Coturnix japonica: one gene and its partners. The protein of the gene in region 1 purifies or fractionates together with the protein of each later gene. This does not show direct contact. Links are inferred from orthologs where the notes say so. Each region holds a gene or a part of one and is shown in the gene's direction. Other genes may lie near its edges.

Region 1 (4,283 bases):
ATGTTCCTGCTGTATAGCCACTCATGTGCACAGCTAAAGGGAACAACCCAAGTGTCCCACACCTCACATGAGAAGTGGAAAACTCTGGTGGCTAAGTTAAAGACAGGAAAGCCTGGAGAATAAAAAGAGAAGCCCTCGAATGAAGCAGATGAGTAGGTCCCACTTTGCCACCTCACACAGGCTTTTTTTTTTTCTTCTACAGAGTTGCAACTTCAAAAAACAAAGCAAAGGAACCCAACAACCCAGAAATCCCAACAGCAAACACCTAAAGATGCAGACATCAGGATGTCAGCTTCAAGTCTCTGTGAATGGGTAGATCCTGTGGTTGCTGAAAGGAGCTGGAAAACAACTTGTGGTAAAAGTTCTGGCAAACAAAAATAGCAGGGCTGACATTTTATTTCAACCTTGTGTTTTTTAAGTGTTTTTATTTTTCTCTTTGGATGCTCACATCCCTTTTTGAACTCGGTGCTGACAAGAGGCTGACCCAGGACAGAAGGCTGAGCAAGGCAGGGGGCTGCTGCCTTAGGGAAGGAGGCCCACAGACAACCATACTCTGGGGATAAGCATTAAATGCTGATCTTGTTCCCTTTCCAGTGCCTGCACAGGTGAGGCTCCAGTTCAAAACGCACCAACTACAGGGTAGGTTTTGGTGGCCCACTGCAACTGCAAGGCCTGAAGCAAAGTGTGTGTCTGAGTACAGATGGGGCAAAAGCTCCAAAGCTTTAAGGCCACAAGATTTTGGACAGCTGGACTTTGTGGAGGGTGCCAGGCCAGACACTTTGGTATGTGGGGTCTGTAGTATCCAGGTTACCTGGGCCCTGGGGAAGTCCCAAACCTCCAGTGTCTGAAAAGATCCTGCAGTGTGTGGGGCTGTCCTGCTGAGCAAGAGATGCTGACTGTAGTGTGAGTGAGTGTGAACAAGGAGAGCCCAGAGGAGAACCCTGCACTGCTCTTAACTCCAGCGGACCTGCTGCAGCAATCAGAAAAACAGCTCAAAAATCCCTGCCCATGACTCCTGGCTCAACTAACCTTTCAAAACACACAAACTTGAAGGTTTTCATTCTCTTTCCCCTGCTTACTGAGAATACAGCTCCCTGCTGAGAATTCTTACAGCTCCTTCCACACCTGGGCCCTCCTTGCCGGCAGTGCAGCAGAAGCCACCCCTCGCTTTCTCCCTTTCCTCCTGCGGGCAGCACTACGAGGATGCTGGGCAGTGACCCTCTCCCCCGCCTCAGCCGGAGCGCAGCTCCCAGCCCGCCCAACCCTGTGCAAGCAGAGCGATAGCCACAACGAGTCAAAATGCAGCTAGTCCCCTCGACTCGCGTGACTTTCACCAGGCTTATGTTCCGCAGGGGGAGGCGGGCTCACGTGCGCGGAGCGGAGCCGTGCCGTGCCCCCCACGCTCTGCCCGCCCGCCGAGGGGCGGCCGGCGGCCAGGGCCACCTTTAGAGCCGGCGGCGGCGGCGAGGTATGGCCGTGCCGACGGGGCGGTGCCGGCCGCCGTAACCAATGGCTCGGCTCCGCTGTTTAAATAGACTCGTCCTGTCAATCATTTTCTCCTTCGTCAACCTCCCTTCAATCGCCATATTGGGCAACTGAGAAAAGGGCTCGTCTCGCCTTGTTTTTTTTCCCTCTCCGCCCGTACGACGTGGCCGTGGGGAGAGCGGCGGGGCCGTGCGGGCAGCGGTGGGGCCGTGCCGACGGCAGCGCGAGGCCGCCCCCGGGGCCGCGGAGGGCAGCGCCGCTCCCCGCTCGGCCGCTCCCCTCCGGAGCCGCCCGGGCTGCCCGGCGGCGGCGGCTGTCGGGGTTCGGCCGGCCCGGCGCTTATGCAATTGCGCGCCGCCGCCTCTCCTCCGCGGGCCGAGGCGGGGCCGCAGAGAGGGGGCCGTACGGAGACAGACCGCGGAGGAGAACCTGCGAGCGGCCGCGGGTAAGGAGCGGAGAGGAAGAGCGGGGAGAGCCGCGAGAAAGCCCAGCGCCATCGGCGACGGCAGAAAGGGAGGGGGAGATGTCAAACGTCCGCATTTCTAATGGGAGCCCTACCCTGGAGCGCATGGAGGCGCGACAGTCGGAGTACCCGAAGCCGTCGGCCTGCAGGAACCTCTTCGGGCCGATAAACCACGAAGAGTTAAACAGGGACTTGAAGAAGCACCGCAAGGAAATGGAAGAGGCATGCCAGAGGAAGTGGAATTTCGATTTCCAGAACCACAAGCCGCTGGAAGGCAGGTACGAGTGGCAAGCCGTGGAGAAGGGGAGCTCGCCCGACTTGTCCTTCAGACCACTGAGGCTACCCAAAGCCATATGCAAGTCCATCGTCTGTCAGAGCCTGGATGAAAACAAGAATTGCCAAACAGCAATTTGCGCCTCTTCTCAGGGAATCTCAGAGGATACCCACTGTGCAGGCGGGAAGACCAGTGTTGCTGGCGGTCAGACGGACTTTGCAGAGCAGTGCGCCGGGCAGAGGAAAAGACCCGCCGCCGACGGTAACGTACCCCGCGGGCAGCGCCGGGCCCGGCCCCCGCCTCCTCCCGCCCGAACGCCCCCGGTGCCGCCCGCGAGCGCCCGGAGCTCCGCGCTCGGCGGGGACCGCGGGTGAGCGGCGGGACCGAGTGGCGCCCCTCGGGCAGCCCCTCTGCGGAGGAGAAGAGGGGACGCTCCGAGCGCCGGAGTCGGGGCGAAACTAAAACGCGCGTCTCTTTGCCCAGAGAAAAGCCCGTCCGCGCCCACCTTCGCGTAGCCCGGTAGCTGACGTAGGGATGCGGGGACGTGCGGGAATAAGCCCCGGCCCCGTCTCTCCTCCCGCCCCCGGGTGCCGAGCGAGCACCTTGCGGGACAGCGTTTTAAACCGGTCTTCTCCCCCCCCCCTGTTTTTTAATTTTCCCCTCCTAGATTCCTCTCCTCAAAATAAAAGAGCCAACACAACAGAAGAGGAGGTTTCAGAAGACTCCCCCAGTGCCAGTTCAGTGGAGCAAACGCCCAAGAAATCGAGCCCGAGACGACATCAAACGTAAACTCCCCGAGTAGGTTCCCTTCGGGCTCTGGGCATTAGGATGCCTCGGGGGTGTCCGCCCCGAGCTCGGGACCGGGCTTCACGCGGCGTCGTGGTGCTGGGGGGCTGCCCCGCCTCGGCGCCGTTCGCACTGTCCCACCGTGGCAGGGAGCTCCGGCCCAGGAGGGCTCTGGATAAAAGCGGGGCTGAGCGGGAGCCTCTTGGGCTGAGAGAGGAGAGCTTGTGCTCCGGTTTTGTGTTGTTTTTCTCTTTTTTTTTTTATTTTTCTCCTCCCCGGTCGTTGTGGTTTTAGTTTCAGGCGCTGGCTGAGTTTCCAGGGAAGGGAGCGGGTTAATGGCAGCCGTGTGTGGTGTTCTTGTTGTTGTTTTGTTTCAGCGCGAGGGCTGGGGCGGAGGGAGGTGGTACATCGCGCCGGCGGTTTCGGGGCCGGGGTTTAGCGGGAAGGTTTGCGAACGCGGTTCGCGATTGTGCCGAAGAGATTAAGCTGCAAAGCAGAAGTTGCAACAAATTACTCCTGCTGTGGGGGGTGGGGGGGTTAGGGTTAGGCGTCAGCCCTCGCCTCTATGCAAATAGCGCACCACCGCCCGCTCCTTCGGGGCGGGGGCAGCTCCGCGGCCCGGTGGCGGCCCGGCCCCACGGGCTCCGAGCGGAGGCGGCCGACGGCCCTGGGGCGGCCGGGCTTAGAGTGCCGCGGGGCTGGGACGACGCACGGGCCGTGACCGGGCCGGGCCTTCCCTGCTGCGGGGAGCGGTACGAGCCCGTTGAAGGGAGCGCGTCGCTTTCAGCCTCTCTAATGTCTTCTCCCCGTCTTCTTCCCGTTGCAGGGCGGAGGACTCGTGTTTCCTTGCTCATCGGGGGGCGGTGAAGCCAGGAAGATAAACAAACAAACAAACAAAAAAAAAGTCGTAGTAGAGATGAATACATATCGTCGGTCTCCATGGGATGGGGACCCTGTGCAAGCACTGAAAAACAACTTCAGCAAAACAAACAAAAAAAAGCAGACAATAACACTAAAAGTTTAGACACTCTTAAAAAAAGACCTGCCTCTAAAAGCATCGGATGTAGCATTGTGCAATTAGGTGTTTCCTTATTTGCTTCATTGTACTACCTGTGTATATAGTTTTTACCTTATGTAGCACATAAACGTTTTGGGAAGGGGGGGGGGAGTGGAAGAGGGCGACCGATGGAGACTTGCTTTCGCCATCTAGCAAGCAAAGAAATGAAGAGAAGCAGTGTAGGCTTTTTATTCCTTAAAGATGTATTGTCCCTTTAC
Region 2 (3,848 bases), on another chromosome or scaffold:
AATGAGAAATGTTGCAGATACAGGTAAATTGAGGTTTTAAGTGTTAAGCATGTAGATTGCTGCTTTCTTGCATTTTTAGTCAAATATAGTGTTCCAGTCACACTGTATTTGCTGCAGAAGAACAGTATTTTCCTATCTCAATTTCAAGTTGACAACTAGACACCCATTAACGTACTGAAATAGTTGGATGTTTTTACTCACAGAAGAGGGCATTTGTTTCTGCGTGCTTTCTCTTTATAGAGTGTGAGGTTTTTTCTGAAATGGCTGAACCGATGCAACAGCTCATAGCTGGTTTTCTGCTTCAGCTTTCATTGTGCTGTTTGGAGTGTTTAACTTCTTCCCTCACTTAGGCAGTCTCTAAGTTACTACTGAAAAAGACAGCAGAAAAATGGTGAGTGAATTTGGTCTGGGAGACAGCTATGACATAAAGCAAGGGAAGTACTCCAGACTAAAGGAAAACTCCTTTTGAACAACAGCAAGTTACACTTCATCTCAGGTTTCACTGAGAAGCTATTTTTAGCACACCTGAGTAATTAAATGTCCTCTAGGATGAGAGTTCCCAAGAAAGGCTAGGAAAAGCTGTGTAAATGTCATAAATTCTGAAAGCATCTCAACCACAGGATAAAAATGATTGTTTTGAAGCTACCTCAATACTAGCTAATTGTTTATGTTTGTAAGATGCCTTTGTGTTGCATTTCAGGTATTAAGGTAACTGTTGGTGTGATTTTTTCCCTTCCTGAATTAACTAGTATGTCTTCATAGAGTTTCTCACTTTTGTACCAGTGAAATCATGTGGTTGGCTCTTCGTGGTTCTGCCTTCTAATAATGAAAACCATGTTGGTGCTCAGTATAAATGTGGCTGCCGCCCTCTACTGGCTGCTTGAATGATTAGTTTAAACTGCAATGCTTGTCAGAATTTCTTGGGATGTTTGTCTCACTTTGAAAAGACTTAAGGATGAATGGAGCTTTTGGTATAGTTTGGTTCATTTTTCTTTTATGCAAATTTTTCAGGACTTCAGATACTTTACACTCTGCTACAAAATGTTGCACAAGAAGAGGCTGCTGCTCAGAGTTTCTATCAGACATATTTCTGTGATATCCTTCAGCACATCTTCTCTGTTGTAACAGATACTTCGCACACTGCTGGTAAGATTGTGAACCAGGTGAAAACAAGCCTTTCAAACATCATAGTAATGTTGCATTTCTTGTTCTGAATAATAACATGTATAATTTTGATCTGTTCAGGTTTGACAATGCATGCATCAATCCTTGCATACATGTTCAACTTGGTAGAAGAGGGAAAAATAAGTACTCCATTGAATCCTGGAAATCCAGTGAACAACCAAATGTTTATTCAAGAATACGTTGCTAATCTCCTCAAATCTGCATTTCCTCATCTGCAAGAGTAAGTGTCCTGTAATTGTCTTATACTTTTGAGTGGATACTTACATACTGAAGTACTAATGGATGTATTTGCTGTTAGTGCCCAGGTTAAGCTGTTTGTAACAGGACTCTTCAGTTTAAACCAGGATATTCCTGCCTTCAAGGAGCACCTAAGGGATTTCCTGGTCCAAATCAAGGTATGTTTGGCATGGTTTCTTAGAGAATTGTAAAAAATATGTAGCAGGATGATGTTTTTAAGTTTTTGGACGGTGTTCATTTATAATAGGGCATACATTTTATTACTACTTAAAATTGTCATGGCTCGAGGGTCTAGATACTGGATCATGTAATCCATTTCAGTGTAATTTAATTGTATAGGTTAAGTTTAAATGCATGCTGTTGCTTATACATTGGTCATACTTACAGGTCTAAAATGGCCATAAAGCAGATCTTGTTTCATTTCTGCTTGGGACTAGGGTGTGTTTTGAAAGTTGACAGACTAGTGCTCTGCTTTTATTTTTCCAAAGATGCTAAAATTAAAGATGATTGTACGAAAGTACATGTTAAAGATGTTCTCAGGCTACGTTAGGTAGATATTTCAAAAACTGTAAAGAGACTGTTTTAATGATAAGGTCAAACAAAAAGCAATGTTACTGTACCATGATGCATGGTGAATATCTTAGAAATTTTTGTCTTAGAATCTGATCTTACATGCTGGAAGCAAAACAAGAAATAGTCTGACAAGGATGCGAAGGGAAGATGTTACCAACATTGTTTTTGATATTTTCAGAAGCTTATTGCTCTTCCTGATGCAGTTAAAGTGAAGTAATGGTTTTGTGTGAATTGTGCAGGAATTTGCAGGTGAAGACACATCAGATTTATTCTTGGAGGAAAGAGAAACAGCCCTTCGACAAGCTCAAGAGGAGAAACATAAACTTCAGATGTCTGTACCTGGCATCCTTAATCCACATGAAATTCCCGAGGAGATGTGTGATTAAAAAACAAGTTCTGCAGTTTTCTTTCTGTGCAGCCACTTTGTTGTGACAGAAGAAAACGGCACTTGGATATTTGTTGACCAAAATGACGCCAATTTGTAAATTAAAATGTCACCTAGTGGCCCTCTTTTCTTATGTGTTTTTTGTATAAGAAATTTTCTGTGAAATATCCTTCCATTGTTTAAGCTTTTGTTTGGTCATCTTTATTTAGAATTGCATGAATTGAAAATTATTGCATTTTCAAAGTAATTATTTCATGCCCATTTTTGTGGCTAAGGGGAAAATAGGCAAAACATAAATTGTAAAGGACTATATTGCAAAACTATACAATTTCCTGTAAGAGTATCAATTTTTAATTTGGGATCATTTTCCTTCTAGCCTGCTCTACAGTCTAGGAGAAAAAGTAATGAGTAAAACAGTTTTAATTAATTGTTAAGCAGAGGATTATAGTGCTGCAATTTTTCTGATCAATTAGCAGCTTTTTGGATTTGAGTGGGTAAAGGCTAGGCTTACATGTATTTGCAAGTTGTATGGCAAGTTTGCAGCAAGATCATGTGCATATCATCCCATTGTAAAGCAACTTCTAAAGCGTATGGGAACACAGTACAGTTAGTTATTTTTACACAGTTCTTTTGTTTTTGTGTGTGTGCTGTCGCTTTGTCGACAACAGCTTTTTGTTTTCCTCAATGAGGAGTGTTGCTCATTTGTGAGCCTTCATTAACTCGAAGTGAAATGGTTAAAATATTTATCCTGTTAGAATAGGCTGCATCTTTTTAACTACTCATAAAATAAAAAAACCCTCTGGCTTTTGAGATGACTTATACTAATTTACATTGTTTACCATGCTGTAGTGCTTAAAGAACACTACTTAAAAGCAAAATAAACTTGGTTTACATTTATTTTTCTTTCTTCGGCTTATTCTTTTATTGGATGAAAATGCTGTGATCGTATTAAAGGTTTGTATCCTGAAGGCATAGGAAATGGTCCTTGAGGTCTAGGTTACCATTCTTTCTGATTTCTCCTGATCTCAAGGCTGAGCTTGAAAGCTAACATGAAACAAGTTGGGTTCTATTTGAAAGTGTAGTTTTGACTTAACACCATGACTAAAAATACTCCATACTACATTGCTATAGAATGCCAGTAATAAGGTATTCTTGCTCTCAATATATGTACTCTTTGTGTTCTATTCCAAAGAGTTATTGAACTGTATCTTGACTAGAAATTCATACTGGTACATATTAATAACACATATAGACCAGATGTGCAGTTATTTTTCTACCTAAAGTTTTGTAGTTAAATAATTTTCACAGACGTATGAAATTGAAATACAGGTGAGAAAACTTCAGTGTGAACACTAAGATGGTGTACAGTCTTGATTTCCCCATGTTTACAGCATCTCACTTCTGTTCTCTAAGAGCTGACATTAAAGTATCCCATGGGTTTTCATTATTTTTTGTTCTTTCCATTTAT
Region 3 (3,996 bases), on another chromosome or scaffold:
GCATATACGGCAGCTTCTTTCCAGAGCCACTTTGAATTTGTAGCAGTCTTTTTGATATGGAAGAATGTCTCGCTCTTATTTTTACTAGTCTAACACAAGCCGAAAGCTGACAAAATACAGCACCTTGCCAAAAAGTAGCATTGCTTCACGGTGTGTATTTACTGAAGTGGTCTTCTGTATTTTGTTTCCATGGTGCGTTACGCGCACTGTGGGGAGACGTGAACTCAATAAATGGCCTATTAAAAGTGTCAGCCTTCTGTCCTGTCTGTTCAATCTGAAATGGATGGGTGTCGCATTGGGGTGTGCTTGACTTTTCTAATTAGGGCCCAGAGAAGGCCTTCCCGTGAACCATTGTTTCTCAACTCAACTTCTTCTCAAGAAGCATTTGAGCAATGATCTCAAACAAGATTTGGTCACAGAATGACACGGGTTGGAAGGGACCTCAAGGATCATGTAGTTCCAACCCCCCTGCCTGGCAGGGCCACCAAACATACACATTTACTAGATCAGGTTGCCCAGGGCCCCGTCCAACCTGGTCTTGAACACCTCCAAGGACGGGGCATCCACAACCTCCCTGGGCAGCCTGTTCCAGGGCCTAACCACTCTCCTAGTGAAGAACTTCCCCCTAACATCCCTTCCCTCAAGATTTGGTCTTTGAGTGGTCCTGTGTGAAGCCAGGTCTCGATGATCTTTGTGGGACCCTTCCAACTTGAGTATGTTATGATTCCATTACTCCTATAATGGCAGACCATCTTTGTGAATGACTTGGCTGTTGGAGCAGAATACCCGTGCACAGCCTTTCTAATACGGGAAAGCAGCTTTCGGTCTGATTTATTCAGGTAACAAGGAGAGGCCGTTCTCCCAGTTGGATGCACTTCTTGCTGCTTCAGACGTGTGGAGCGGCGGGACATAGAGGCGGTGCCCGGCGGTTGGCTCCTTCCCCTCAGCACCGCCGAGTCCGTGGCGCCCGGAGCAGCGGCTGCGTTTGGCCGCGCTGTGGAGCCGCGCTGACAGGAGGAGCGGCCCGGCCCCGCCTTGGTGCTGCGGCGGGAGCGGCGCGCGGCGCGTGTTTACATTCCGCCGCCGCCGCACGTTGTGGCCGCGATGCGCGCTGCCATTGGCGGGATGGAGGCGGCGGCTCCGCCCCGGGGCCGGGCCTCGCCGGGAGCGCGGCGTGCGCGGAGCGTGGGGCCGGTACAGCGGGTGTCTGCGGGAGCGGGGCGGCGGGCAGGGACGGTGATGCGGGGCCATGGGTACGTGCGTGGGGACGGGGATGGCGGGACGGGCGGGGACGGCGGAGCGGCCATTCCTGCCTGTACTACCGCGGGTCGCCTTCACGGGGGAAACCGAGGCGGGCAGAGCCGGGGTCGGGCGGGCGGCGGCGACTGCAGGGTGCCCGCAGGATGCCCGCAGGGTGCTCGTAGGGTTCCCTCAGGGCTCCCTCCTGATGCCCGCCGGGCCGGGGTGGGCGCCGCGGCCGAGGGGCGGCGCTGGGGCAGCGGGGCGGGGGAGCTGTCTGCCGCCCTCGCACATGCGCAGCGCGGGCGCGGGCCGCGCTATATAGCGGGTTGGCGCCGGCGGCAGGGGAGCAGCGCGGGTCGGGCGGCAGCAAAGGAGGTGAGCGGGGAGCAGCGGGCGGGAAGGAGTCAGCGGGGTGCGGTGATGGCGGGATGGGGGGGATGGAGGCATGGGGCGCTGGGGATGTTAGGGGTGTTAGGGGTGTAAGGGCACTGGGGACGCGGTGCGGTGCTGGAGCTGCGCGGATCGGTGCGGGGCGGTGCGGCTCTGAGCGCTGCGGGTGCTGCAGAGGCGCGGGCGGGAGCGGCGGGCGGCATGCGCGCCCGGTCGCCGTTTTGGAGGGAGAGCGGCTCTGGCGGAGCGGTGCAGGCGCCCATCCGAGCCCGCTCAGCCCCGCATCGCCCCGCTCAACCCCGCACCGTCCTGTTCAGCCCCGCTCAGCCCCGCACTCGGCGGGATCCCGTCCCGGCGCGCTGCCCTCCCTCCCTCCCGCCGCCGATGGGGGCGGGGAGCGCCGTTGGCGCGCTGACCCCGTTTGCCGCCCGCCCGCACCCCGCGGCGCTCCGGGCCGGCCGCGTCCCCCAGGGCGAGGCCTCGGCTCCGCGCTGCCCCCGTTCAACACAGGGACGTGTCCCCTGAGAGGAGCGTCCCCGCCGTGTCGGGGTGTCCCCGTGAGCGCGGGATCCCCGTGAGGTGGCGGCGCCGTCCCGGAACCCTCCCGCGTTTTGGAGGGAGCCCGGCGCGCACCGAGGCGGGAGCGAGAGGAAGGGAGGGAGGGCCGAGGTCCCGCAGCACAGATACCCCGTGCAGCACAGACAGATACCCCGTGCAGCACAGACAGATACCCCGTGCAGCACAGATACCCCTTGCAGCACAAATAGACACCCCGTGCTGCCCCGCCTGGGGTTGATCGGCGCCTTCCGCGGGGACCCCAAGTTTGGCCGGCGTTCTCTTCTTCCCACCCCCCAACCAGCCCCGCCTGAGCCCCGCTCGCCCCGGGGCCGGCCGAGGCGCGGCGCTGAGAGGCCGCCTTCTCCTCCTTCTCCTCCTCCTCCTCTGCTTCCCCGCTCAGCAAATTGGCGCGGAACCCGCGCTGAGGGGCGGCCCGGCCCGGCAGGTGGGGGGTGCGGGAGGGATCCCCCTTTGTGTAGATGTGTACGTGTGTGTGTGCCCCCTCTGTGCCCTTTTACATGGGAAAGGCCGTTTTGCTGCTTCCCCCCCACACTCAGGTAGGCATAGGAGCTGTGTAAAGGAGCGTCCATCCCTCAGCGATGCGCTGTGGGGATCTGGGTTTAGCATCGTAACACCCCCAAGGGATGTGGGTGCTTGTGAAGCACAGGGATATCGTGCAAGGTGTGCCTTGCACTGGTCAAATAACAGTGCCCTGCTTGGGTTGTTGAGCCATGTGAGACTCAAAGCAACACAGTTGCACTGTGTTAGGGCACAACTTTGAGAATATACCTTAATTTGGTTGTTATTCCTTTGGTCCAGGTAGACAGATCTTACCGCCCGAAGATGTCAAGACGCAGGTAAGCTGTCTGCATGGTGATACACCCACGTGCCCTTTGCTCCCCTCAAAGCTGCTGCTCCCTTAACACTGAGTGTCTCTGCCCCTTGCAGCAGCCGACTGCAGGCCAAGCAGCAGCAGCAGCCGCCGCTGCTGTGTCAAGAAGAGACTCCACGTGAGCTGCAGGCACCGGAGCTTCTCCAGACCAGGAAGAGGAGAACAGCAGAGGTGACCCATTCAGTTGACTTAATACTGCACATTATTCTGGTCACTGGGATGGGGGTCACCTTTCCTCCACAGAAAGGAGTAGCACCAGCTTGCTGTGTTGTTAGAGATGGGTTTGCTGCTCATTGTCAACCTATTGACTGTGTTTTCTTTATTCAGCAGGAGATTAAGAAGAAAGAAGATGGGAAAATTGCTAAGAAACATCAATATGAAATTAAGGTAATTTTACCTCGATATAAAGCTCTGCAGGAAATGTTCCTGTGTTCATCGGCAGGTTTTGTTATCCTTTGTATAAGGAATCTCCCTCTTTCCAAAGACCGTAATTGAAGCTCAGTTGTCACCATTTTGAAGGCTGTCAGCCATTACAGCTTTGCATATGCTTCATGTGCTTAATCAATACATGTAGGGAAGTATCATGTGCAATGAGACAAGTTGCAGATTTAGCTGAACCAACCTAGAATTCTTTCTCTGAAGCTTTCTGCGTGAAATGACTTCAGACTCCTTTGAAGACACTGAGTATTTGGCATTGGCGAGCTGAGAGATAGTTCACAGCTGGGGGGGTATCAGGCTTTGGAGCTGAGATGGGTGGCTCCTCCCTGGAGTACTTGGAAGATAACAAGTTGCAGAACTTCCCCTAAGACAGCAGGACCTCCACCCTCTCCTTTCTTTTCCCTCCACATAGATAAGTAGATGGGACCAGCAACATGCCTTGTTGTTACAGTGGTCTTCGTCTTGCCTCTCTTGCT
Region 4 (4,166 bases), on another chromosome or scaffold:
CAGGCTGAGAACCGGTTAGGTCCTCTATAGTGCACAGGATTTACAACCTGGTAAAGTTTTGATTCCTTGTTTTCACCCTGTTAAAGAACTTCTTACTGTGTGCCCAGTAGAGACCTGCATGTAAGATACACAACTCAAGAATATAAAACAACTGTTCATTTGCAAACATACATAATGCTTCTAGGTTGGCATTAGTAAGCTCATCACCTCCAAAGAGAGGCCAGAGCACCCTTCACAACTTCAGTTTCCTCAGAGTCTTGAGATGAAGTTACAAGGCTGGTCTGTATTACAGCTGAGTCCTGACTCCTGGGAGGTGGGAGACTGTGCAAAAGGGTTTACAGAGAGTGGACAGCAATACCTCTAGAATCTGCTTTGTAACCTCTTTTTACCTGGCACTGTGCGGAATACAAATCAGACGATGCAAAGAATAAGAATGTATCTACTTCACAGTTATTATTGTAGCTTTATGTTTTGCAATCCTACCAATCAATCCTATCATGTGTCACCTGAGAAAAGAGAGCAGACCTCCCTGCAGCCTCCTTTCAGGCAGCTGTAGAAAGAAAGGAGGTCAGGAGGTGACCTGAAGGATTCTTCTTTGAAGAATTCAGACTGAACTGACCCAGTTCCCTCAGCTGGTCCTGACATCTCATTTTCTACATCACTCAGCACTTGGCCACACTGAACATCTGCTTGTCCTTGGATAGAGACAAATCATACAGAGGTGCTGGGAAAGGAGGAGGATAGAGTACCTTGACATTTCCCTGTTGCATCCCAGTCTGCTCCTGCCGTGAGACAATTTGGCCTCGTGTGGAGCCCTGCCTTCTTTTGATGCTCAATCAGCCTAATCACATCTTTTCACTATTGCTTCTTTTTCTGAAAGCATCTTGTTAAAATGGAGGGAAGCTTTTGCAGTGTGACTAGACAGCTGGTAACGTTAAAGCTGGGCCAGGTTTCAGTTGCGTTGAGGGACATGGTTTAGTGGGAGCTATTGGTAATAGGTGAATAGTTGGACTGGATGATCACAGAATCACAGAATGACCCGGGTTGGAAGGGATCATGTAGTTCCAACCCCCCTGCCTGGCAGGGCCACCAAACATACACCTTTACTAGATCAGGTTGCCCAGGGCCCCGTCCAACCTGGCCTTGAACACCTCCAAGGACGGGGCATCCACAACCTCCCTGGGCAGCCTGTTCCAGGGCCTAACCACTCTCCTAGTGAAGAACTTCCCCCTAACATCCAACCTAAATCTTCCCTCTTTTAACTTAAAACTATTTCCCCGTGTCCTGCTATTGTCAGCCCTTTTGAAGAGTTTACTCCCCTCCTGGGAGTAAGTTCCCTTCAGGTACTGAAAGGCTGCAATGAGGTCACCCCGCAACCTTCTCTTCTCTAGGCTGAACAAACCCAACTCCCTCAGCCTGTCTTTTAGGTCTTTTCAAGCCTTGGTGATTCGGTGATGCCTTTATGGAGGGTAGAGCTTATTACAGTGGTTAGAGCACCAGCGCCACACAGCGCTGCGAGGCGGCCATTTTACCGCAGGGGGGGGCACCGGGCCGCTGGGACCAGCCCACTCCCTACCTAGCAACAGCCGTGCCTTCGTCTGATTGGCTGGCAGGGCTCCGTGGGAGAGCCGGCGGGCGGGGTAGTTAAGAACCGATTGGCTGTTTGTTCTGTGAGGTGAGGCGGGGCTGTGCCTGAGGTGGTCGGTGTGACGGCGCTCGTTGGGCGGGAAGCGAATGTCACTGTTGTTTCTCGTGAGAAGCTTTATCGTAAGTGTGGCAGCTGAGTCACAGCCCTCCACACAGCCCGCCCTCCGGTGGGCTCTGCTGAAACAGTAAAGCCACTTCATCCCGATGGAAAATAGCTTTCCTGACGCTTCCCCTGGTATCTTCGTGTTTATGGTTACAAAGGAGCTAAAGGAAAACCAGCTGCCTAGTACTGATACAGCTGATGATTGTATCAGCGGCTGCTGGGTTTGAACAGCACGGAGCAGTTGTTGTAACTAACTCAATCCTTCCCACAGGAACCTCTGCTTGCCGCAATGAGACACAGCCTGGTGTGTCACACGCCTCCTGCTGCTCACCTAAAGCCCAGCGCCTCCAGGACCCAGCAGCAAAAAAAGCCGGTCAGAGCGAAGCGGCTTTCGTCCAGAAACCGTCGAGAAATGTGTGAGAAAAGGGTTCCGAAAGGCACCTCTGGACACCCAGCGGCGTCGTGTCTCGTTATTCAGCGTCAGGAAATGACGGCTTTCTTTAAGCTCTTCGGTAGGTCGCTGTTAGATACCGATTGACTCAACTGTGGAGGACTCTCAAGGAAGGATGCTTTGTAAACTCAGTGATAATATGGGGAGTGCTGTTGATATAGGTACTAACAGCCGTGCCTTAGGTTAAACGTGTTCTGTTGTTAAATTCCAGGGTATATTTAATGGTTAAGTTAAATGCAAAGAGGCTAAACCGATGTGCTGACGAGCATCTTTGTTGTAGATGATGATCTAATTCAAGACTTTCTATGGATGGATTGCTGCTGTAAAATTGCAGACAAGGTAAATGTTAGTAGTTAATGCAATCTACCTTGAGTGAAAGTCTGCTCTTAATCACTTGATACTATGATATCAGTTGTTTTTTTCCTAATACATCTTTATGGGAGCCTTGAGAAAACTCAATTTAAGCTTTCCTTGTTGATAAGACACAACACAGCATTTTGGTGTGAGACAAACATTCCAAGAGTTTTCCGTAGTGTTATATCGAATTAATACATTAATACTTAATAATAAATGTGACGTTTCACATTTTACAACAGTATCTTTTGGCAATGACATTTGTTTACTTCAAGAGGGCTAACTTCACAACGGAGGAGCACACCAGGCTCAACTTCTTTGTTGCTCTGTAAGTACTCATCTAGTTTTATTAGCAAAGTTTTGGCATTACTTTGTTGCTTTTTGATGACTCTGATACACAGTAAGATGACATGACCAGTTTGTAGTGCTCTGGGTTCTATATGAAGGAAAGAAACATGATCTTCACATTAGATTTGCCTACAGAACTCTTGATCTCTGAGCTTTGTGTGCATTAAAATAAATATGCAGTAAAATCAACACAGGACAGTAGATGAGAGATGGGAATGTCTCATGTTTCTCTTATAAGACACCTCGTTTAATGTTTTTGCAAGCTTTCATGTCGTTTGCTCTGAAATGATTCATAATGATGAACAACTTGCTAAAACTTCCCAAAATATTAGGAAAAATAACTACTGTGTCTTTTAGTGTTAGAACTCACATTCATGTACCGATTCAAGATTGAATAACAGGCACAAACATATATTTCAAGGTATCTGGCAAATAACGTGGAAGAAGACAATGAAGAATCAAAGTATGAGATTTTCCCGTGGGCTCTGGGAAAAAACTGGAGAAAGCTATTTCCTGATTTCTTAAAGTTAAGAGATCATCTATGGAGTAGAATTGACTACAGGGCTATTGTAAGCAGACGTTGCTGTGAAGAGGTAGGGACAGTTTTAATACTGTAGATGCTGAAACTGCAACAATTAATAGCAATTCACAGGATGGCTCCACGCTAACAATTTCCTCCCTAGAGTGAGTAGATAAGCCATGGGAAGGAAAAGATGGAGCTTATCCTCCATCGTTTTTTTTTCTTCTGCATTCAAAATACAATCAATCTTTGAAACAATGCTTATAAGGTAAGCTAGACTATTCTGTTATGCTACTGTTTCAAGCTTTAAGGACAAGAATCTTTCTGCTTTATGCAAAGAATTTTACTTGAGATACATTATTAGCTGCTAAAAGTCATTCACTGTAGCAATTTTTTGTATGCATCTTCACTTTAACAGATTTCAAGTCTGTACCCAAAGTGAAACCTTAACGTTTCACCTGAGGTGCTATTTGGCTCTTTTATGAGTTAACAGTGTAACTTGAATTGACTTGGTCAGGCAATGGTTTTTCTTTGCATTTCAAAAACAAAAGGACATGCTGTTAACGCGCTTTGTTAATGCATTGTTACAACCTCTATTTTACAAATGTACTGGGGGAAAAAGGCATTCCCTGCTTTCCAGATGGCATCTGTCTGTCTGAAAAAGCGCTGCTGTGTTTGAAGATCATAACGTTCATTACAGCTGGTGGAAAATCCGTTCAGCAGCTCATCTCTGGGAATGGGAT
Region 5 (4,119 bases), on another chromosome or scaffold:
CGCTGCAAATCCAGATGGAGTAATTACATGCTTCTTTCTGATAGGAATTCTATTTGTTTGTACAGTATTAGATCTATCTATATATAAATATTTAGTTTCTGGAAATCACGCAGCGTATGATGCCATACATACAGCACACACTTTCTGAGTTATAAACTCACTTCGTTAAATCACATTTCCCATTTGAAGGAGACCTGGATCCACTTTCTCCCAGTTCAGCCCTGACAAGGGCTGCCCCCGGAGCCACCCCTGGGCCGTGCCGTGTGTTGGAAGGCACAGAGCTGCCAATGAGGCTCCCCACGTGGAGATGGAGCACATGGGTGAAGCGTTGCCGTATTTTTCTTGCGGTGCATTTTAGTACGATTTGCAGGTGCCATAAGGAACACGGGGAGGTGAGGGGGTTACTTCAGCTGGGGGGATTACTTCAGCAAAACGAGAGTTTCTTGGTGGTTCCCCAAAGTGCGTGAGTGCTGTGTGAATAGAAAAGGGGGGAGAGGGAAAAAAAGAAGGGAAAAAAAGTGGGGTGGGGGTGGGGGGGGAATTATGAGGGGGAAAAAAAATAGGGGGGGAGGGGGGGGTGAGGGAAAAAACAAAGTGATTTTTTGGGGAGAGGGGAAAAAAAAAGGAGGTTATTTCCCGGGGAGGAAAAAGCCCATCGCCCGGCGCGGTGATTTCCAGCTCCCCGCATGTCGCGCTGCCGCCCCGCACCGCACAGCGCCGGGACCCCCCGGGGCGATCGGGCCGCGCCGAGCCGCGCCGCTCGCCGCGACCCTTGCGGTATGCGGGCGGCTTGGCAGGGGCAGATGAAGGATTTCATTGAGTGTGAAGACAGAGAGCAGAGACAGAAAGCAGAAGGAGGCGGCTGCAGCCTTTGTAGTCGGGGAGGAATGCGGAAATGTTGAAGCACTATGTCAAACTTTTTTGAAACGGGGTCAAGTCACATTCAGCCAGCGTGGGAAAGCGGGGAGAGAAAGGGAAAAAGGCTTCGGGAGAGGGGAGGAAAAAAAAAAAAACACAACAGAAAAGCAGCGAGCGCTGCCGCCACCGCCGGGGCTGAGCGGGGCTGAGCGGGGCCGGCGGAGCGGAGCGGGGCGGGCGGGCAGCGGGGCCGCTCCGGGGCGGGCTGCGGCCGCGGGGCTGCGGGCGGCTCGCTGCTGCTGCTGCTGCTGCTGCGGCGGCGTCGTTGCTCCCCGGGGGCCGCGATTTTCCTTTTCCCCGGGCGGCGGGGAAAGGGGGGGTCGGGGGGGGGAGGGTGGGAGGCGCGGGCCGGGGCCGAGCGGGAGCTGCCTCCCGCGCCGAGGGGATGCGGGCCGGGGGCGGCCGGGCGGCGGAGCAGCTACCTGTGTGGCCCGGGCGGCCGGGACCTGCCGGAGACATCGCCATGTGAAGGGGCAGACCCCGGCCGGCTCTCCACCCCGCCTCGCTCAATGGGAGGTTTGTTTTAGGGAGGACTCACCCCCTCCCTCCCAACCCCCCCCCCCCCCAAAGGACTGCGGGTTATTTGGGGAGCCGCCGGCGGATCGGGCGGCCGCGGCGCGCACCAGGTAACGCGGGGAACCCGTGTGTGTGCGGCCGCGGCCCCGAGCCCACGCGCGGCCGGAGCGGGGTCAGCGCGGCGTGCGGGGGGCGGCGGGAGGGGAGGGCCCTGCGAGGCCCCGGGCGGACGGCGGATCGCAGCGTGCCCCCGCCGCGTGCGGGGCCGAGCGGTGTCGAGCGGGGGGCCCGGCTCCACAACGCCCCGGGGGAAGGCGGCCGGCGGTGGCGGCGCTGCGGCCGCGAGGAGCCAGGCCCGCCGGAACGCCGGGACGCCGGGACGCCGCCACGCACACGCGCGACGCGCCGCCCGCCGCCGGGGGGCGCCATTCCGCAGGGCCGGGGGCGCGGGGCTGAGTGCGGGGCGCGGGCAGGTGTCCACACGGCGGGGGGGAAAGGGACGGGAGCGGGGACGGGGAGCGGGGCCGCCTCGGGGCGCTTCAACGGCGGGGCTGGGAGCCGCGAGCCGCGGCCGTAGGTGCCGTCAGGGGATCCCCGCCGAGCTGCAGGGACTATTCCTGCTAGAGCGGCGTGTAGGGGGATGCGGCCCCCGGTCACCGTGTGGGTGCGTTGGTTATGAATGGGCGAGGAGGAAAGGAAGGGCTGCCGTGCCGCTGTGAGCGGCGTTTGCTCGTGGCCGTGCCGTGGCGGTGGGGGTGAATCGGGGCGCAGGGGAAGTGGCGCAGCCCCACGCCGTGCAGGGCAGCCGCTGCTCCGGAGCGAGGCTCGCACCCGGCGCCCGTCCCGCTGCAGTCAGCTGGGAGCCACGCTCGGGTCCTAGTAGTGGATCATTAGGCTGCTGAGGGCCGTGCGTCTGTGCTCCAGCAAACGGTGCTCAGAAACATGCTGGTATCTTACGGTACATGTATGTGTGAATATATACGCGCAGTTCTCCACGAGGCAGGAACGTGCGTTCTTGTATTCTTGCAATGCACAGCACAGGGTAGAGTAGCTCCAAGCTGGAGCCTCTCAGTGCTGCCATTTGCACGTGAGTACTGGCTGTACAGCATGGGATGGGCTTCAGGGGCTCCATGTGATTGATGCCCAAGGAACCAAGGAACCTGAGGAGCCTGCCATACTTAACTGTCCCATGAGTGTAGAGATTCTGTCGTCTAATGGAGGATACCACCCACGTCCCTCAGAGTCACGCTCTGCCCATCTCTCAGAAAACCCCCATTGCTTGGGGGAAGCCCAACCATGTGGTCGCTCTGGCCGTGCTGCAGCCTGGGCACATTGCAGCAGTGACCCAGGTTGTGTCAGCTGTGCAGTGACGCTGCCTGGCAGCCTCTGGTTTGCACCTTCCTTTGTGCGTGCAGCTCTCTGCTGTGCTAGCATCATTTTCTCAGTTTTAAGCCGCGCAGAGTAACAAAGTGAAGTAAAGCACAATGGCACCATGTTCTGACTGCTCCCTCTTGCTTGGTCTCTCCTCCAGATCTATCTGCCTTCGCACAGACCATGCTCCCAAAGACTGTATGATCGTTTCTGGTGACCGCCAGCGGAGGCTCAGTGGGGCCGGTGCAGCGGAGCAGGAGGCCGAGGGGTTCCTGCTGCCCCTCAGGCAGAGGTGGCGGCGTGTGGCTGAGCCGCAGTGAGGTGCCGGCTTCAGAAGCGAGCAGAGAGCAGAGCTGTCCTGAGCTGCTCTGGATCCCAGGAGGAAGCGGAGTGGCGGCAGCATGGACAAGGACGGCACCAACCTGGCCGACCAGCAGTATGAGTGCGTGGCTGAGATCGGCGAGGGGGCCTACGGGAAGGTGTTCAAGGCCCGTGACCTGAAGAATGGCGGCCGCTTCGTGGCGCTGAAGCGGGTGCGGGTGCAGACCAGCGAGGAGGGCATGCCGCTGTCCACCATCCGGGAGGTGGCCGTCCTCAGGCACCTGGAGACCTTCGAGCACCCCAACGTGGTCAGGTGAGGCAGCGGGGCCTGCTCTGTGCTGCATGTGCTGGGAAAGCAGGTTTGGGCGCGTGGAGGGCCGGCTCACCGATGGGCTTTGTGGGAAGAGCGAGAGCTCCTTTATGCACATGGAGTGTGGTTTGAGGTTTCGACAGGCCGCGGGGCTGTGCCAGAGCTCACCTCATCCCCGTGCTGCCTCCCACACACACAAACACCCATCTCCAGAGGCATAGGCGTGTGACAGCAGTGCTGGGGTGGATGGCAAGGAGCCCCATACACACCATTTCCTCAGGCGTGAGAGGGAATGAAAACCCAAGGGCTCCCTTTGTCATAGGTATTAGCTCTGACAGCTGCAGCTGATTCTTAACGTCTCATTCATTACCCAGAGATCATGGTTGTAGCATTAGTGGGATGTGCATTCCACTTCTTTAGATGCTTTTATTAATGTTTGCAGATCATTGTGTTAAAGAGGAGGAGATGCCTAAGTCTGAACTTTACAGGCCCTGTGAGTACTGTTTGTTGGTGAATACCCCAGGAGGTGCTGGTGGTGCTACCGAGAGTGCAGCAGGATGAATGCAGGCCTTGCTTCCAGCATGGTGGCAGTGGCTCCAGGTTTCCTTGCTGTTGTGTTGGTTGTGTAAGCTCTGAGTGAATGAGCTCTGTTCTGGGGCAGGTTCCCCATGCAGAGACTGGCT
Region 6 (4,250 bases), on another chromosome or scaffold:
GAATTGCAGAATGGTTGTAGTTGAAAAGGACCATGGAGGCCATTGGGTCCAGATTCTTGCCCTGCTCAGAGGCAGCTGAAGCTGCTTGCCTGTATCATACCCAGGTGGCTTTCAAGTACCCCTAACAAGGGAGACTCTACAACTTATTTGTTAACCTCTTCCAGTGCTCCATTGCTTTCTGGGTAATGAAAGACAAAACGTGTATATATAGAGTATATATAGAATTTCTTCTTGTTCCCCTTGATGTTACTGGCTAGGTATAATCCTGTCTGGGTTTTAGCTTTCCTAACCTAATCTCTGTCTGCTCAGGCAACTTTGTAGTCCTCCCAGGTAACCTGTTTCTGCTTCCATTCCCCATAGACTTTATTTTTGAACTTACATAAGTGCAGAAGCTCCTTGTTGATCCTTAGAGACCTCCTGGCCTTTTTTCCTGCCTCCTTATTTATGGGGTTGCACTGCTTCAGGGCTTGGAGGAGATGGTCCTTGAATACCGACCAGCTTTCTTGGTGGCTCCTCTTCCCTCTGAGACTTCCTTCCATGTCACACTGCTAGGTGGTTCCCTGCATATTTCAAAGTCTGCTCTCCTGAAGTCCAGAGTAACAAGCTTGCTGTGCATCCTCTTTGACACCCTAAGGATTTTGAACTCCACCATTTTGTGGTCACTACAGCCAAGGCTGCCCTTGAGCTTCACGTTACTTACCAACCCTTCCTTGTTGGTGAGCACCCTTTCAACACCTTCCAGGAACCTCCTTGTTTTCTGGTGCGCTGCTGTGTTGTCCTTCCAACAGATATTAGGGTGGTTGAAGTCCCCTATGAGGACCATGTTTTGTGAATGTGAAGCTGCTCCTATCTGTTTATAGAGGGCCTCATCCACTCAGTCTTCCTGATCAGGTGGCCTGTAGCAGACCCACACTACGATGTCTCCTACCCTTTAACCCAAACCCATAAGCTGTCAGCTCCTTTTTTATCTGTAGGTGGAGCTCCAGGAACATCAGGTGGTCATTGATGTAGAGAGCAGCACCCCCCCACCCCCTTTCTCCCCCGCCTCTTGAAAGAGTTTATACCCATCTATTCCTGTGTTGCAGTTGTGAGAGTCATCCCTCCTCATCTCAGTGATTCTGTTGACATCGTAGCCCTGTAGTCATGCACATGCGTGCATTTCCTCCTGCTTGTTCCCCATGCTCCACATGTTGGTGTACAGGCACTTGAGTTGGACTCAGAGATTTACTATGATAGATCTCTGTGTAACTTCTAAAGCTAGCTGAATTCCTAATGAAAATCTCTTTTAATGCATTTTATAGTCTTCCCCCACCCTCTAGAGCATGGGTGTCCAACCTTTTGGCTTGCCTGGTCTGTGTTAAGAGGAATTATCTTGGACTGAATAAGCATAAGTTACTCCAAAAATAATGCCTTCTATTAAATTCCATGGAAAAGTACAGCAGGTACAAAGAGCTCAATAGCATTATTTGGTAGAATAAATTCTCAGCTAGAAAATGGTCTCCTTCACTGTAGCCATCACCATTAGCTGTGCATTTTCACCAGTGGGGAACAAGAGTTGTGAAGTGAAGGATTATTTTTCTCTCATAAGAGGTCTTACAGAAGTCTGGTAAAGAGGTGTGATCAGATTTCTTGTTTTCAATATCTGATTGTAACTCCATTTATTCAATTTGAAAATGTGCACGTAGTGTATTTATATCAACTGAAAAGGGTGTTGTGATCACAAATCAGTGAGTTTTTGAGACCTATTCTCAGCCACCTGTATCAAAATGGAAAGCCCAGCTGCATATTCTTTGTTGTTTGGAGCAGTGCATTTAGCCAATCAAAATGTATACAATTACCTGCCATCACTTGAATCACTACTGCTTTCCCTAAGCACGCTTTCAGTCAACACAGTATTAATAGAGCACTGATGGTTTGGCTGTTGCTGAGCAATGGGTGTCTGTGGGGCTGCTCTGGTGAAGAGTTGAGATGGCTGCACTGTTTGCTGGGCCATGGGCTGGATGTGCCTGCTGTAGTGGGCGCACTTGTAGCCCTAGTTGGGCACCCGGAGCTCAATACTGTCATTTTGTGTTAAAAGCTCCTGAGACTGTTCAAATTCCAAAGGCTGCTAGACACAACAGGTCTAGAATTTTGAGGCAGTTGCTCATTAATGTTGTTTACTATTGTTTTTCCAAGTCATTTTGTAAGTTGACACTTCAGAGTGGTTAATTTTATTACGATAAGGCAGGTGAAACCATGCGAGCGAGACTAACAAACTCTCGCTCTGGTAGGCGGATGCTGAGCAACATACACTAGCAAAATACCTCATGGAACTGACGCTGATAGACTACGACATGGTGCACTACCACCCTTCAGAGATCGCAGCTGCTGCCTTGTGCTTGTCGCAGAAGGTTCTGGGCCACGATAAGTGGGTAAGGGTTGTAATGAAAATCATGGGGGTTTTCATCCATACAATTGAATTGAACCCTTTAAAAAATACTTTAGGAAATAGTTCAGCAGAATTGTTGGAGATCAAATGACTGGCTGATGCACAGCTAATATAAAATGATGATGCCACTGAAAATAAAGCTTACTCTTTCCTATATGAATGCCATGATACAGTGATGTTTTTTCTTATGAAACTGAGTGACAGGAGAGCAAACTGTATCTTTTTGGTTTGGGTTTTAGGTTTACTTTCTTTTTTAAAGGAGATACCGATTTTGTAGCTTGCAAGAAAGCTAGACTAAATCATAGACCGTGAATAATGAATCGTACCTCAGCTATTAGTTACTTTTGCAAGGCATCCTTTTGTTCTGTATGGTGCGGGAATGTGACTCAGCTTTGATGTGTTTAGTCTTCCACTGCATACTAAACATTATTCTGTATCTGCATTTTTATCTGTCAGTGCTACAACTCCCAGCACTCAAGGCCAGCAGCTGATACCTGGGGCTTTAGTGAACTTAAATAATTGTGTCTTGAGCGAAATTCTCCCCCTTTATAGAGGCCACATTTCTTATGTTGTGCTGCAGGGTACCAAGCAGCAGTACTATACTGGGTATGCAGAGGACAGTCTTACAATGACAATGAAGCATATGGCCAAGAATGTCGTCAAAGTAAATGAGAACTTAACAAAATATACTGTAAGTACATCTACTTAAGTAAGTCTTCTGATGCTTTAGAAAGTCACCTTTACTGCATGCTGTGGTTTCCTAGATGAACATTTTATATGTTACCTTACAGCATATTCTATTTTGACAAGCCTCTGAAAAGTTGTTCATGAGTACTAACATCAAAACTCTTTATCTAAACTACTCTTGCTGCTCTGCCTGCTGCTTTACTTCTGCCCCTTACTTTCTTTTGTTTGCAAAACAGTCAGACTAACTCAAAATCGTCTGCCTGGATTTAAGAACTGTGCATGTGTGTAAACTTCCTGTAACACTGTTCCTCCGCAGGCTGTAAGGAACAAGTATGCAAGTAGCAAACTCCTGAAGATCAGCACAATCCCTCAGCTGAAGTGTAACGCTATCAAGGACCTTGCTGCATCACTCTTACAACCCTAGGTAGATATATTCTGATGATATATGCACTTTGTGTCATCCTCCTCATTTGCCTACTGAGGAAAAACTACTGCCCTGTGTAAATAATATTCCAGCCCTACCACCAACATTTCAGACTCTCTCTCAAGTTTTAAACCTACTTTGTACTGCAACTGTATACCTAGAAATAAAGCTCCTCTTTCAAAAAAATAAAACAAACCAATTCTGCCTGCCATTTGATGTTATGGTAGGACACTTGTCAGAGTGGGTGGCTGATGCGCTTTGCATCTAGACATGGGTGATTATTCTTTGTGGTTGTTTCTGGTGATAATCTGGCTTCATAGTGGGTTATATTTAGTAATTTGTTCTCACTCTTGAAGAGAGGCAGGCTGTTAATTGTCCCTTGATGTACCTTAAGGGATGTTTGTTGTTTAGTTTATCGCAGTGTGTTGTCTCAAAGAAGTATTCAAAAAGTAGTTTGACTTCAGGCTTGGGAAAGAAGTAGGCTGTAACAGAGACAGCTTTGTGAGGCTTTGTGTTTACGTAGTTAGAGTGATGATGGACAACTCATTTTTCTATCTTTGTATGCCTAAAGAAAGAGCAGAGGCAGCAAAAAACCTCTATAGTCACAACTAATGGTATGCTCAAAGGAGTACAAGCATTGTAAGTGCCTCAGTTATTTTGCCTTGCTTCATTCATGCCTTTCTATTGATGTAGTACTTAAAATACATTTAA
Region 7 (4,023 bases), on another chromosome or scaffold:
CTTACCCTAAACATACGTACAGATGTATAACTGCAGAATAACTCCAGCAGAATTGGTCAGAGCTGTTCCAGCTGAATCCTCTTTAGATGACGCTGCATCCCAAGAGTCCTCAATTGCTACAAACTCCATCATTCTGTTTCCTGCAGAGTATGAGTAATTATCTTCCCAGGGCTGCAGGTAGATTGCTGGTGTGAATTGGATTTGGGTTTATCTCCATCCAGTTCTGTGTATCTTCCCTCAGCGCAGCCAGAATGTGATGCATAACACTCTGTATTTGAATAAGTGCCCCATGCAGAGATGTGTTACAGGAGCGTGTGCTGCAGGGGTGCTTCATTTCAAAGGATAAGGCAGTTAGAAGTGTCAGGAGCAAAGTTGAGACATCCCAGTTTTTGTAGACACTTTGCAACTGTATGGAGCAACATGGGCGGGCGTGTATCCTGCTGCCTTCAGCTTCCCATGCCACAAAGCAATTGCTGCTGTGCCACCTGCAAGTATCTGAATGAAGTAGCAGCTCATAACAAACCCTGTGCTGCAGGAGCACATTGCAAATTCATTAGAAAGACTTGAGCGACCCTGACAATTCCTGAAGAAGTTGCTCAGGTACAATTTGTATAAGTATTTCCAAACGATTGTTAACTGTTCTGAACAAACAGCAGAGCCCTGAAGGGCCTTATCTGTGCAGACACAGGCTGCTATCTGCTGAGGAGCTGCACCACTCACAGCGTGAGGGCAACTTGTGGAAGGCAGCAGCGTAAGTACAGACTGGCACCGAGCTGTGTACGCGGCTGATTATTTGTGTAGCCTTGAAAGACTCTGGCCACAAAAAGCGGGGAAAGGAATAGGAGTAAATGCTGAAAAATTACTGTTAGAAATGGTAATTACGGGTTTGACGTGCATCCCTTGGGAGCCCGGGGACTGTTCCTTTGGAGTCTGCCCGGACATCCCTCACCCTCACGTGCACCTCGGCCTCGCTGGGGTCAATGCCGAGATCAGCTCCCGCAAACTAAACGGGCGGGGGGGCAGACGGCCACGGGATGGGCCGAGACGGGTCCGGGATGGGCCGAGACGGGTCCGGGAAGGTCCGGGACGGCCGCTCCCCCCAACATGGCAGCGGTTCCCGCGGCCGCCCCACGTGCTGCCGTCCCGCCACTTGGGGGGGTGGGCGTGTCCAGCTCCGGCTTTCGGCGCGTTCCATCAAAGCCGCGCGCCGATTGGCTGCGATCGCCGAGGCCCCGCCCCCCCTGAGCCGAGGCCCCGCCCCCCCGCGCGCCGCCCGCTCCCGGCGTGTCGCGGCCGCAGCAGCGGAGCCGCGTCGCCCCGCGCCCATGGAGCTGCTGTGCGTGGAGCCCGCGGCTCGAGTCCCCCGCGCCGGGCGCGACCCGCAGCTGCTGGGGGACCGGCGGGTGCTGCAGAACCTGCTGAGCCAGGAGGAGCGCTACAGCCCCCGCGTGTCCTACTTCCAGTGCGTGCAGCGCGAGATCAAGCCCTACATGAGGAAAATGGTGGCCACTTGGATGCTGGAGGTACTGCCCCCGTCGGCGCCTCCTCTCCGCCTCCGCGCTCGGCTCCTGGCCCTGGCTCCGGTGCTTTCGTGCGCCCGTCGTCCCTCCCCGCGAGTCCCCGCGCTGGCGGGAACGAGGCGGCGAGAGGCGGGGAGCGGAGCGGCTCCCGGCACGGCCCTTCGTGGAGCCTGCGGGGCGGCCGGGGGACGGCGGAGGAGTCGTGTCCGTGCTGTCCGTACTGTCCCTATTGTCCGTGCTGTCCGTACTGTCCGTACTGTCCGTGCTGTCCGTGCTGTCCGTGCTGCTGTGGCTGTGGCTGCGGGGTGAGGGGGGGGAGCGAAGGGGCAGCGCTTGTGCTGGAAGCGATCGCCCGAGCGGGAGGAGCGGAGCCCCGAGCCGCAGCCTGTGCACCCACACGCGCTCCCGGTAACGTTGTGGGAGCCCCATCCGCACCGCGCTCCGTAACGTGTCCGGGTTGGGGCTGAGCGGCGGTGGCGGTGCCCAGGATCGCGTGTCCTGCGCGGGGCTGAGGACGCCTCGTTAGAAGGGGGAAATAATATCGCTGGCGTTTCCTTCCCTAAATGAGAAACGAATGCGGCTCTGTGGGATGCGCTGCAGTGCGGGACGCCTTAGGGGACCTCTCGGTGCGGCGGCCAGAGCGTGCAGCCAGCACGGGAAGAAAGAACGTTGTGCAAAAAGCAGATGACTTTGGATGGAGCCCAGTGCTGGCAAAAAGAAACGATGGGGCACGGTGCTTTTAGCGAGTCTGTCTGTCGTTCTTCCTATTAGCGCTGTCCTGTTCCTGCAGTTCCCTTTCCGAGGTTAGTTAGACAAACGCTGCTTTGGAGCCTGTTGCTGGGGAGCTCGTAAGGCTGTCAAAAAGTAGGAGACACCTGGCACTGCTCCCAGCGCTGTGTGCAGCCCATGCAGGGCTGCTGCTGGGGGAGCACAGTGCTCCGTGAGGAGAAACTGCTGTATTTGTATGGCTGTGCTGGGAAAAAGGAGTGAATGTGACCAGGGTTGTGGTGCTGAGATGGGAGCAGAGGGCTGGAATGGAAAGCCCTGGTGTTCTGCTCATGGCGGTGGTGCCAGTGTGGCTGAGGAAGAGTTGGGGGCTGGCAGGGGATGCTGCACAAGCTGCTCTCCAGCTGGGTGCTGCTGGCAGGATGAGTTTTCCCCCATCGTCCCAGCTCTCCAAAGCTGATAAACTGGCTGCAGGCATCTGCAGGAGGAGTTAGGAGGCTGCAAATAGGGCAGTTGGGTTCTCTCTAACCACATACAAGTTCTGTTTTCTGCAGGAAGATGAATGTCTACAGCTTTGGTAGAATCTGTTGCTACTGTGGAAGCTGTAGACTTAATGCTTGTAGCTCATTTGCACCTTTGCGCTGTGGTGCTGTCACAGCCCTGCAGATAAGTGTGAAACACCATCCTGACCAGACCCTTTGAAGCTGGTGCAGGCAGGATTTGGGGAGTCCGGTGCTGATTAAAGCTTCCTTTTTTTTTTTTTTTTTTTCTTAATTGTTTTTTCTCAGGTGTGTGAGGAGCAGAAATGTGAGGAGGAGGTGTTCCCCTTGGCCATGAATTACGTGGATCGCTACCTGTCTTCTGTCCCTGTGCGGAAGAATCACCTGCAACTTCTGGGTGCAGTGTGCATGCTGCTGGCTTCCAAGCTGCGGGAAACCATGCCCCTTACAGTGGAGAAGCTCTGCATCTACACAGAAAACTCCATCACGCCTCAGCAGCTCCTGGTAACCACCCCTATCTCTAAGGGACCTCCAGCCCCTCCCTCGCCCTTCTATCTCCTGCGTGCTGCTGCTTGGCAGCATACCTGTCCCTGTGTCTCCTTGTGCTTTTTGTCCCATTTTTCAACCTTCCTCTTGGTTCCCCAGCCAACTTTCTCACCTCTCTGGCTTGGTGGGTTTGATGTCTGTAGGTGGAGACTTTTCTCTCCTTGGCACAGCCTCTCTCCCTCTTGTGGGAAGCAGGATTGTCACCTCCGCATTACAGAGAAACTTCCTGTGCCTTATGTGCTGGCTGCCAGCACAGAGCTTGCTCCTGAGTGTGCTCCTGAGCAAGCTGTGGGGAACAAAGGCCCTGTCTGCTCTGCGGCCGAGCAGGAGGCGGGCACTGGAACGTGCCCCTCTGCTCCGTTCCAGTTGCTTTGCACCCTGCTCCTGGGCATGGCAGGAGAGCTGCATTGCACCCTGCTGGGGAAGTGAAGCCTTAGGAGCTGTTACCCAGCAGAATGGGTGGGTGCAGGATGACTGAGGATCAGGCTTGTTGTGCTGCCAGTGCTGCTGAGGTGATAGCAATGCTGGCAGCTTGCTTCCCAGGCCCTGCTTCCAGGTCTTGAGTTAAAGCAGGGCTGCTCTGCTTAGTCCCATCAGACACTTGGGCAGTAGCTGCATAGGCTTGGAAAGGCAGAATGTTTTCTTGTCTGAAAAAAAGATCCTAACATCTGAATTCAGCTTAGCTGATAGAACCAGAGAACCCCTTTATATGGGGACCTCCCTTGCTGCTG

What was found.
Region 2: the proteins of CDKN1B (region 1) and XPO1 purify together in Homo sapiens (affinity purification with western blotting; 4 studies listed by BioGRID). This does not show direct contact. The link is inferred for Coturnix japonica from reciprocal best matches to the Homo sapiens genes CDKN1B and XPO1.
Region 3: the proteins of CDKN1B (region 1) and CCNE2 purify together in Homo sapiens (co-immunoprecipitation; 5 studies listed by BioGRID and IntAct, with this or other methods). This does not show direct contact. The link is inferred for Coturnix japonica from reciprocal best matches to the Homo sapiens genes CDKN1B and CCNE2.
Region 4: the proteins of CDKN1B (region 1) and SPDYA purify together in Homo sapiens (affinity purification with western blotting; 3 studies listed by BioGRID). This does not show direct contact. The link is inferred for Coturnix japonica from reciprocal best matches to the Homo sapiens genes CDKN1B and SPDYA.
Region 5: the proteins of CDKN1B (region 1) and CDK6 purify together in Homo sapiens (affinity purification with western blotting; 8 studies listed by BioGRID and IntAct, counting the BioPlex papers as one, with this or other methods). This does not show direct contact. The link is inferred for Coturnix japonica from reciprocal best matches to the Homo sapiens genes CDKN1B and CDK6.
Region 6: the proteins of CDKN1B (region 1) and CCNB2 purify together in Homo sapiens (affinity purification with mass spectrometry; 3 studies listed by BioGRID and IntAct, with this or other methods). This does not show direct contact. The link is inferred for Coturnix japonica from reciprocal best matches to the Homo sapiens genes CDKN1B and CCNB2.
Region 7: the proteins of CDKN1B (region 1) and CCND3 purify together in Homo sapiens (affinity purification with western blotting; 9 studies listed by BioGRID and IntAct, counting the BioPlex papers as one, with this or other methods). This does not show direct contact. The link is inferred for Coturnix japonica from reciprocal best matches to the Homo sapiens genes CDKN1B and CCND3.

The regions. Positions count from the first base shown.
Region 1 is NC_029516.1:66,307,377-66,311,659, forward strand, and holds the start of CDKN1B (cyclin-dependent kinase inhibitor 1B), read left to right. Parts: upstream 1-1,483; 5' UTR 1,484-2,008; coding exon 2,009-2,483; intron 2,484-2,889; coding exon 2,890-3,011; 3' UTR 3,012-3,020; intron 3,021-3,834; 3' UTR 3,835-4,283. UniProt on the Homo sapiens protein: Important regulator of cell cycle progression. Inhibits the kinase activity of CDK2 bound to cyclin A, but has little inhibitory activity on CDK2 bound to SPDYA. Involved in G1 arrest. Potent inhibitor of cyclin E- and cyclin A-CDK2 complexes.
Region 2 is NC_029518.1:5,218,714-5,222,561, forward strand, and holds the end of XPO1 (exportin-1), read left to right. Parts: coding exon 1-23; intron 24-1,011; coding exon 1,012-1,146; intron 1,147-1,245; coding exon 1,246-1,405; intron 1,406-1,483; coding exon 1,484-1,580; intron 1,581-2,234; coding exon 2,235-2,381; 3' UTR 2,382-3,348; downstream 3,349-3,848. UniProt on the Homo sapiens protein: Mediates the nuclear export of cellular proteins (cargos) bearing a leucine-rich nuclear export signal (NES) and of RNAs.
Region 3 is NC_029517.1:114,473,130-114,477,125, reverse strand, and holds the start of CCNE2 (G1/S-specific cyclin-E2), read left to right. Parts: upstream 1-1,196; 5' UTR 1,197-1,253; intron 1,254-1,547; exon of another isoform or gene 1,548-1,617; intron 1,618-3,009; 5' UTR 3,010-3,033; coding exon 3,034-3,047; intron 3,048-3,138; coding exon 3,139-3,253; intron 3,254-3,409; coding exon 3,410-3,469; intron 3,470-3,996. UniProt on the Homo sapiens protein: Essential for the control of the cell cycle at the late G1 and early S phase.
Region 4 is NC_029518.1:10,154,300-10,158,465, reverse strand, and holds the start of SPDYA (speedy protein A), read left to right. Parts: upstream 1-1,366; 5' UTR 1,367-1,734; coding exon 1,735-1,767; exon of another isoform or gene 1,768-1,882; intron 1,883-2,021; coding exon 2,022-2,262; intron 2,263-2,481; coding exon 2,482-2,540; intron 2,541-2,797; coding exon 2,798-2,883; intron 2,884-3,324; coding exon 3,325-3,496; intron 3,497-4,166. UniProt on the Homo sapiens protein: Regulates the G1/S phase transition of the cell cycle by binding and activating CDK1 and CDK2.
Region 5 is NC_029517.1:20,819,641-20,823,759, reverse strand, and holds the start of CDK6 (cyclin-dependent kinase 6), read left to right. Parts: upstream 1-1,319; 5' UTR 1,320-1,434; exon of another isoform or gene 1,435-1,544; intron 1,545-1,987; exon of another isoform or gene 1,988-2,098; intron 2,099-2,965; 5' UTR 2,966-3,206; coding exon 3,207-3,439; intron 3,440-4,119. UniProt on the Homo sapiens protein: Serine/threonine-protein kinase involved in the control of the cell cycle and differentiation; promotes G1/S transition. Phosphorylates pRB/RB1 and NPM1.
Region 6 is NC_029525.1:5,820,795-5,825,044, reverse strand, and holds the end of CCNB2 (G2/mitotic-specific cyclin-B2), read left to right. Parts: intron 1-2,270; coding exon 2,271-2,411; intron 2,412-3,008; coding exon 3,009-3,119; intron 3,120-3,431; coding exon 3,432-3,539; 3' UTR 3,540-3,750; downstream 3,751-4,250. UniProt on the Homo sapiens protein: Essential for the control of the cell cycle at the G2/M (mitosis) transition.
Region 7 is NC_029541.1:4,749,139-4,753,161, reverse strand, and holds the start of CCND3 (G1/S-specific cyclin-D3), read left to right. Parts: upstream 1-1,223; 5' UTR 1,224-1,325; coding exon 1,326-1,523; intron 1,524-3,034; coding exon 3,035-3,250; intron 3,251-4,023. UniProt on the Homo sapiens protein: Regulatory component of the cyclin D3-CDK4 (DC) complex that phosphorylates and inhibits members of the retinoblastoma (RB) protein family including RB1 and regulates the cell-cycle during G(1)/S transition.